2 linked regions of the Saccharomyces cerevisiae S288C genome follow. The gene in region 1 interacts genetically with each later gene. Each region holds a gene or a part of one and is shown in the gene's direction. Other genes may lie near its edges. The genes, in order: SHE3 and PMT6.

Evidence for each region.
Region 2: mutations in SHE3 (region 1) and PMT6 together harm fitness more than expected from each alone (negative genetic interaction), as found in Saccharomyces cerevisiae (2 studies listed by BioGRID).

Annotation. Positions count from the first base shown.
Region 1 is NC_001134.8:494,759-498,570, reverse strand, and holds SHE3 (She3p), read left to right. Parts: upstream 1-1,701; coding exon 1,702-2,979; downstream 2,980-3,812. Other genes in the region: CCZ1 (Ccz1p), read right to left, coding at 1-1,408; OPY1 (Opy1p), read left to right, coding at 3,232-3,812. UniProt on the Saccharomyces cerevisiae protein: RNA-binding protein that binds specific mRNAs including the ASH1 mRNA, coding for a repressor of the HO endonuclease. Part of the mRNA localization machinery that restricts accumulation of certain proteins to the bud and in the daughter cell.
Region 2 is NC_001139.9:895,761-899,693, forward strand, and holds the start of PMT6 (dolichyl-phosphate-mannose-protein mannosyltransferase PMT6), read left to right. Parts: upstream 1-1,741; coding exon 1,742-3,933. Other genes in the region: YPP1 (Ypp1p), read left to right, coding at 1-1,386. UniProt on the Saccharomyces cerevisiae protein: Protein O-mannosyltransferase involved in O-glycosylation which is essential for cell wall rigidity. Transfers mannose from Dol-P-mannose to Ser or Thr residues on proteins.

The DNA of each region.
Region 1 (3,812 bases):
CACAAATCTTGTTGAAGTCCGGATCACAGACAATTACAATTAAAAAATCATCAAAGTACCAAAATAGGCAATTATAAAAATCCTCCTTGTCTTTGGAGTTTTCAAAGTTCAAATTCAGTTTCAGGGCTTGGTATGATGATGGCAACAGGTCTGAATTCAATGGGGAAATTAGGAAACCAAATCTCGAGTTGCCTATCGTCCCTCCAACAGCCTCTGATTGCGCCATCAGTGGGGCATTCGAATTTGCGTTATCATTGCTATTTGAGTAATTATTTTTGTCGGCACTTTTGTTAGAGGATGAAATGAACGGCCAATGGGGCTTCGGTACATAGTCCATTATCATGGATAAGCTACCCGAAACACCAGTCGTGGTACTCACTTCATGTATAGCGTCGTATGCAAAAGAAATGGGGAGTGTTACGTTGTGTATCACTCTTTCCGATAGAGAGAGTTCGCTTGTATTGTTTTGCGTAGTCTCTTGGTGCTCCCGTCGCTGTTGCTCCTGTGATTCCTCTTCGTCTCTTCCGTTTGTATCACGACTTCGCTCTTGTTCTTCTTCTACTTGTAGCTCCTCTTTAAAATGGACATTTCCTGTTAATATATGACTTGATATTTCACCATAGGTGCAGTGCAAATGATATAGCCAATTTGAGATATCTGGTAATGTGTTCAGGTCACTGGTAAAGTTCCTTACTAGTCCATAAGTTTTTGTTCCCATAGACTCCCTATTAGCCGCTTTGGTGCGCTTTGGTAGGTGGTAAACCAAAATGTCCTTTAGTCCTAGATAACTCTTTTTATCTAAAAGAATATTCTGCAAGATTATAGCGTCCCATGACTCTTCGACATTATTTTTTTCTCCAGGATTATAAGAGGAATGTTGAAAATTTGCCCTTTTATAAAAACCAGGCCACATTACAGTAAATGATCTATTCGTTACAGTTTCTAGATTCAAATAAATATCATTCCAGAACGGAATAACGAATTCGTTCAACAAATCCGTGAGTTTGCGGAAGTCCTTGTTAAATCCGCTGAATGACCCATTGAGTAGCTTGAAGAACCTGTAACTAAGCCATAAGTAAGCACTGAGATACTGTAAAGGTATGGCACTCTGATCGTCGCTGATATTCGAAATTGCTAGACTGATGAAAAATCTTGATTCCACCTTAATACAAAAAATAATATCATTGTTCAGCTCAATAATTTTCTCTAAATCTTCGCCGTCCTTGTTTACGCATGAACTCGTAAGTGACCAAATGCCCTGTATTACTCCTATGATGGACAGTTTTTCGTTTAAAGAGGGTATTGAATCAGTAGTGCCAAAATAATGGAACAGCAGCAACTGCTTGAAAGTGTCATTTTCGTTGGTAGATCTTGATGGATCAAAAACCGTAATATAGTGTAGTCTCATATCCGTCTTTCATATATCAATTTAATAGTTGTACGATTTAGAATGTATTTTTGGTTCCACGTCAAATGAAACTATTTCCCTATTGCTACTACATATTATTGTCATCGCAATAAAATAGGCTAAATAGTTACCCGCTCGTTTCGTCTTTTGTTCGGGCGAGAGCTTCATTACTAACTACTATTGCATTTTGTTTATTGATTTGTTGCCATGAGTAGCAGCAGTCTGAAGGGGTTACCAAACGTTAGCTCGTCTATCAAGCACGCCAAGGTTCAACGACACTACTTTTGTGTAAGATGTCGGACCAGGATAATACCCAGACTTCTTCAAGCAAGTTGGCACCTCACCATAATATTTTTATGGCAAACTTGGAAAGTTCCCCCACAAAAGATAGAAATACCTCCAGCCAAAATGCCTCATCTTCGAGAGTCATTGAATCACTGCATGACCAGATTGATATGCTGACAAAAACAAATCTACAATTGACTACGCAATCTCAAAATTTATTGAGTAAATTGGAATTAGCACAATCCAAAGAATCAAAACTACTGGAAAATTTAAATCTGCTGAAGAACGAGAACGAAAATCTCAACTCGATATTTGAAAGAAAGAACAAGAAGCTAAAAGAGCTAGAGAAAGATTATAGCGAATTGAGTAACCGTTACAATGAACAAAAGGAGAAAATGGATCAATTGAGTAAATTGGCGAAAAATTCTAGTGCCATTGAACAATCTTGCTCTGAAAAATTGCAAAATATGGAAGTTAACTATAATTCATTATTGGAGTCACAAAATCTTTACAGAGACCACTATTCTGATGAAATTTCCAAATTAAATGAAAAAATCGGTTTGTTGGAGTTAGAGTTAAGTAATCAAAATTTAAATTATGGTTCAGATACTAGTTCAAATTCAGATATAGAATTGAATTTAAATAAATTCAATGACTCTGTGAAAGATTTGAAATCTCTGGAAACAGAAAAGGATTCAAAATTAAGCAAGATAATCACTCACTCTTTAGATGAGTTAAATCTACAAAGCTGGCTAAATCTGTACCAGACGAACGAAAATCTGATATCAACTTTTGCTGAAAAGATGGATTTGAAAGACGTCTTGAAAAGAAACGATGAGAAGATTAGTAATAAAGGCGCGGTAGTACAAACCTTGAAGAAGAATGTACAAACCCAGGTGGAAAGCAACAACGCTGACGCTTTGAGTAGCAATAATGCACAGGATATGCTTCCTATTAAGATGGTCAAATTAAGAAAGACGCCGAACACAAACGATTCATCCTCCAATGGTAATAGCAGTAACAATAAAAGAAGAAGTTTCTATACTGCGTCGCCTTTGCTGTCATCGGGTTCTATTCCAAAATCTGCATCCCCGGTTTTGCCTGGTGTTAAAAGAACTGCCTCAGTAAGAAAACCAAGCTCGAGCAGTAGTAAAACAAATGTAACGCATAATAACGATCCAAGTACATCTCCCACAATCTCAGTGCCTCCCGGTGTTACAAGAACTGTTTCCTCCACTCATAAGAAAAAGGGAAATAGTATGGTTGTTCACGGGGCCCAATCCTAGAATATGCCGACACAAGGGAGTATATATATAGGATTCATTTAGATAATAGAACAAAAGTAAATAGATGCCTCTAAGGTTTTATAGACACGAATCCATATTTTTCACTTTCGGTCACTCACAACGGTTTTTTCTCTACTATAATGTGGCTGAAATTAAACGAACAGGCCAAAATGTGGTACGCAATAGTAGCCAGTAGGTGAATTAACCATAAATAATTACGCTAATTTTGCCTTGGTAAATTTCATAAGACCAATGATAGCAGGTGCGACTGCTCCGTCAAGTCAGCATGAAATTTTGATCGCATCGAATCTCATCAAGAAGCCATCAACGTCTCAAAATAAAACGCCGACAGCTCAATCCAGTTCAGGTAACAATGGAGCTGCTGATGGTGCACCGCAGGGTTACCATCATCACCATCATCACCATCGTCATTTATGGTGGCCTCGGACAACAGACCATCAATATTGGTGTGTCTTGAGGAAAAACCAATTTGCCTATTACAAAACTCGGGATGAAAGAGAGGCTATAAGTGTCATACCGAGATTTGACATACTTAATTTTAAGATAAGCGAGCTCGATGGTATATTAACTGTTTATACTCCATCCAAGGATTTAATATTCAAATTTCCACGAGGGCAAAATGAGAAGGTTGGTATGGAACTGATGCATAATTGGAAAATTGCCCTTGAAAAATTCCTCTCTAGTCCTAGTGGCAACGAAAGTGTCACTACAGGTAGTGATTATGATGAAGAAGAGGATGATGATGATTTAATTGTAGTTGACGAAAAGGCGGGTCCTTCTAGCAGCAAGCATTCTTGCAGTTTGACGATGGA
Region 2 (3,933 bases), on another chromosome or scaffold:
TCCCACCGTGACATAATTTCATTCATTGATGCGTATTCTTTTATTTTACAAAACTCCTCCAAAACCGATTCAATCGAAAATGTTTTTGATTACGATAATACGGTATCTACGTTTGCGACTTCCTTGAATTCCTTCTACAAAGAATATAATTTGCCATTAATGAGCCAATCAGAATCTTTAGATTGGCTAGAAAACAGCACCAGATGTGTATACCCAGGAAACATTTCGAAAGTTCTAACAAATGCGTGGTCAACATTGTACGAAATCAGAAAATATCAGTTAGATTTTCTTGTATCTAATAATTTGACTTCATATCTATGTAATGCAATGATGCTGTCCACAAAAGAAAAAGACAATGCTGATGTAGAAGAGCAGGAAGAAGGAGAGGAGGAGAAGGCATTACGTGAATTACAATTTAAATATTCTTACACTCTAGCACAACAGAGGCACATTGAAACTGCAATCAAGACTCTAGAATCATTGATATTAAGTAAAAACCCAAATTACTACAAAGCTTGGCATCTATTAGCTCTTTGTAGGTCTGTGCAAGAGGATAAGGAAATGTCGTACAAGATAGTTTGCTCTGTTCTAGAAGCTATGAATGAAAGTCTTCAGAACAATACTTTACTTCTGAATGATAGATGGCAATTTATTCACCTAAAATTAACGCAATTGGCGCTAATTGAAGAAATTTTTGGCACTTTAGAGGCACTGGAGACACTTCCAGAGGTCTTTGAATTATACGCAACATTATTTCCAGATTCACAACCTGAATTGAACAGCATGGGTCCCAAATATTCTCAAACTAAAGAATATCTTTTACAAATGGTGTGGATTTTTGCTGCAAATATGTACATGAGAACAAAAGACAATGATGAGGATGCCAAGGCCGCCATCAAAGAAGCCTCCAATGTCGAAAGTAAATTCAAGAATTTAAATTGTAATATTGCTAACGGTTATTTATCAATAATAAAAGATGAACCAGGCGTGGCATTAAAGGAATTTGAAACAGTTCTGTACTATGATGAGAATAATTTAGATGCCTTGGTCGGATTCGCTGAATTAATTTTCCCTGAAGAACTAGGCGTCGAGGAAACTAATCTTGAGCGTTATTATACTCTCAGCCTTGATAAAAAACCAGGTAAGAGGGCCAAACTTACGTTCGTTAATGACACAGATAGGTCAGCAGCGTATGCAAGACTAAAATTTCTATTGGAGTGCGCAATACTAGAATCGATCGAGGCTTACTATTCCCCAGAAGTTTGGTGGTATTTGTCCCTCATTTACGAGAAATATCAAGATGACGAGTACAAAAACTCTTTGCTAAAATGTATTAAATACCAAGAGTTGAATCCCATTCGCTCCCTAAGGTATTGCAATTACTAACGATAATTCTTCTGATATATACACACACATATATACATATGGGCGCAAGTATATTCTGGTGTAAAGATACTCATAGAAAGCATAAAGATGTAATTCAATCTAGTTGTATTATATTATTCATTGATTTATATTAATTTGATGAACAATGGAACATCTTCTCTTCAATAACGGTTTTGCCCATATACTTGACGTTATTAGGTTACCCGTTTTTATAAATGTAATAAGTTCAATAATTTGAAAAGAGCATTAGCTATAGTCACGTTTCGCGTTGAAACAATTCTTTAAATTATCTTCTCTTGGCAGTTTAATATACCAAACGATAGTCCTAACATACTGTTTTTCTTATTATTTACCAATGAGTAAAGCCAAGGGAACGGGATTTTCATCAATTGATACTGAAGATGAAAACTTACGCGAACGTTATGTTAATCAACCAAAAGCTAATGCCTCCGATATTCAAGATGAACAATTAGATTGCTTTGAGCAACTAGAAGAAAAACATAGGACAAAAAAAAATGAAGAATACACTGCGTTGAAAATTTTAAGGGATGTCATAGGTCCCCTTTTATTAACTATAACTTCGTTTTATCTAAGATTCCAACATATAGATCAGAACAATTATGTTGTCTGGGATGAGGCTCATTTTGGGAAATTCGGATCATACTACATCAAACATGAGTACTACCACGATGTCCACCCTCCACTTGGTAAAATGCTTATTGCATTGAGCGAATGGATGGCAGGATTTGACGGTCAATTTGACTTTTCCTCTAATAATGCATATCCGGAAAACGTAAACTTTAAACTAATGAGACAATTTAATGCCACATTTGGAGCTCTATGTACACCAGTAGCTTTCTTTACAGCCAAATGGATGGGGTTCAATTATTTTACTGTTTATTTGATTGCTACGATGGTAACGTTGGAACATTCATATATTGTCCTCTCAAAATTCATATTGCTAGATTCAATGCTGCTTTTTTTCTCGATGACGACTTTTGCCTGTATGATAAAGTTGTATACGTTGAGAAAGCAACAAATGACGAAAAAATGGTCGTTATGGATGTTATTAACTGGTTTATCTATTGGTTGCGTTTGTTCTGTGAAATGGGTTGGTCTTTTTATCACAGTTGTAGTCGGCCTCTACACATGTATAGAACTATTTTTGCTCTATTGTGATAAAGAATTGCCTAGAATAAAATATTACAAACATTGGCTTATCAGAATCATTAATCTGATAGTAATTCCTTTTCTTATCTATCTCTATTGCTTCAAAATTCACTTTGTGTTGTTGTACAAATCTGGCACGGGGGATTCTACTACAAATACGTTATTTCAGATAAACTTGGAGGGAACTCAGATTGAGGCGGGTCCTCGTGATGTAGCATTTGGGTCAGAGTTAACCATAAGGTCGCATGGTTTAAGCCCGAATCTGCTGCATTCACATATTCAAGTATACCCAGAAGGCTCTGGACAGCGCCAAATCACTGGATATGGATTCGCAGACTCTAATAATGTTTGGAAGTTTGAATTTTCTAGGTCTTCTGGATTGGAACTAGATCAGAACGGGACTTTGAATGGCAAAATAATCCCAATAACGGATGGTGTGGAAGTTCGTCTCAGCCATAAAAATACAGGATCGAATCTTCACTCGCATGATGTACCTTCTCACGTCTCTAGAGGAAATTATGAGGTTTCAGGCTATGGGTCACAAAGTGTTGGCGATGAAAAGGATGATTGGATAGTGGAGATTGTGAAACAAATGGATTCACCAAATCCCGTCTATTCTAATGAGAATTCAACTATTTTACATCCAGTTTCTACTTTCTTCAGGTTGAGACACAAAGTTTTAGGTTGTTACTTGGCTTCTACTGGATTGACGTATCCAGCTTGGGGATTTAAACAAGCTGAAATCGTCTGCAAAGACTCCTGGAGTCGTAGGGACAAATCGACCTGGTGGAATGTAGAAGATCACTGGAACCACAATTTAGAAACCGCAGAAGATTACGTTCCACCAAAATCCAATTTTTGGACCGATTTTATTCTAACTAATTTTGCCATGGCCTCCTCTAATAACGCGTTAGTGCCTGATGAGGATAAATATGATAGTTTATCGTCTGATGCATGGGAATGGCCAACCTTGCATAAAGGGCTAAGAATGTGTTCATGGGCGGGATATATCACTCGATATTACTTGATGGGATCTCCCTTCAATACATGGATTTCTACTGTCTCCTTAATCATCTTCCCATTTATTATTCTTTTTATATTATATCGTTGGAGGAGACAAACGCTTTATCTCTCAGACGATCAAATCTGGCAAATAACGATACAGGGTATTTTTCCTTTCATTTCCTGGATGACACATTATCTGCCTTTTGCAATGATGGGGAGAGTGACGTATGTACATCACTACGTTCCCGCTTTATATTTTGCAATGCTTGTTTTCGGATTTGTGCTTGATTTCACTTTGACAAGAGTCCATTGGATGGTCAAATATCCCATCTATTTGTCATTGTTTGGCGGATGTATATACATTTATAATTT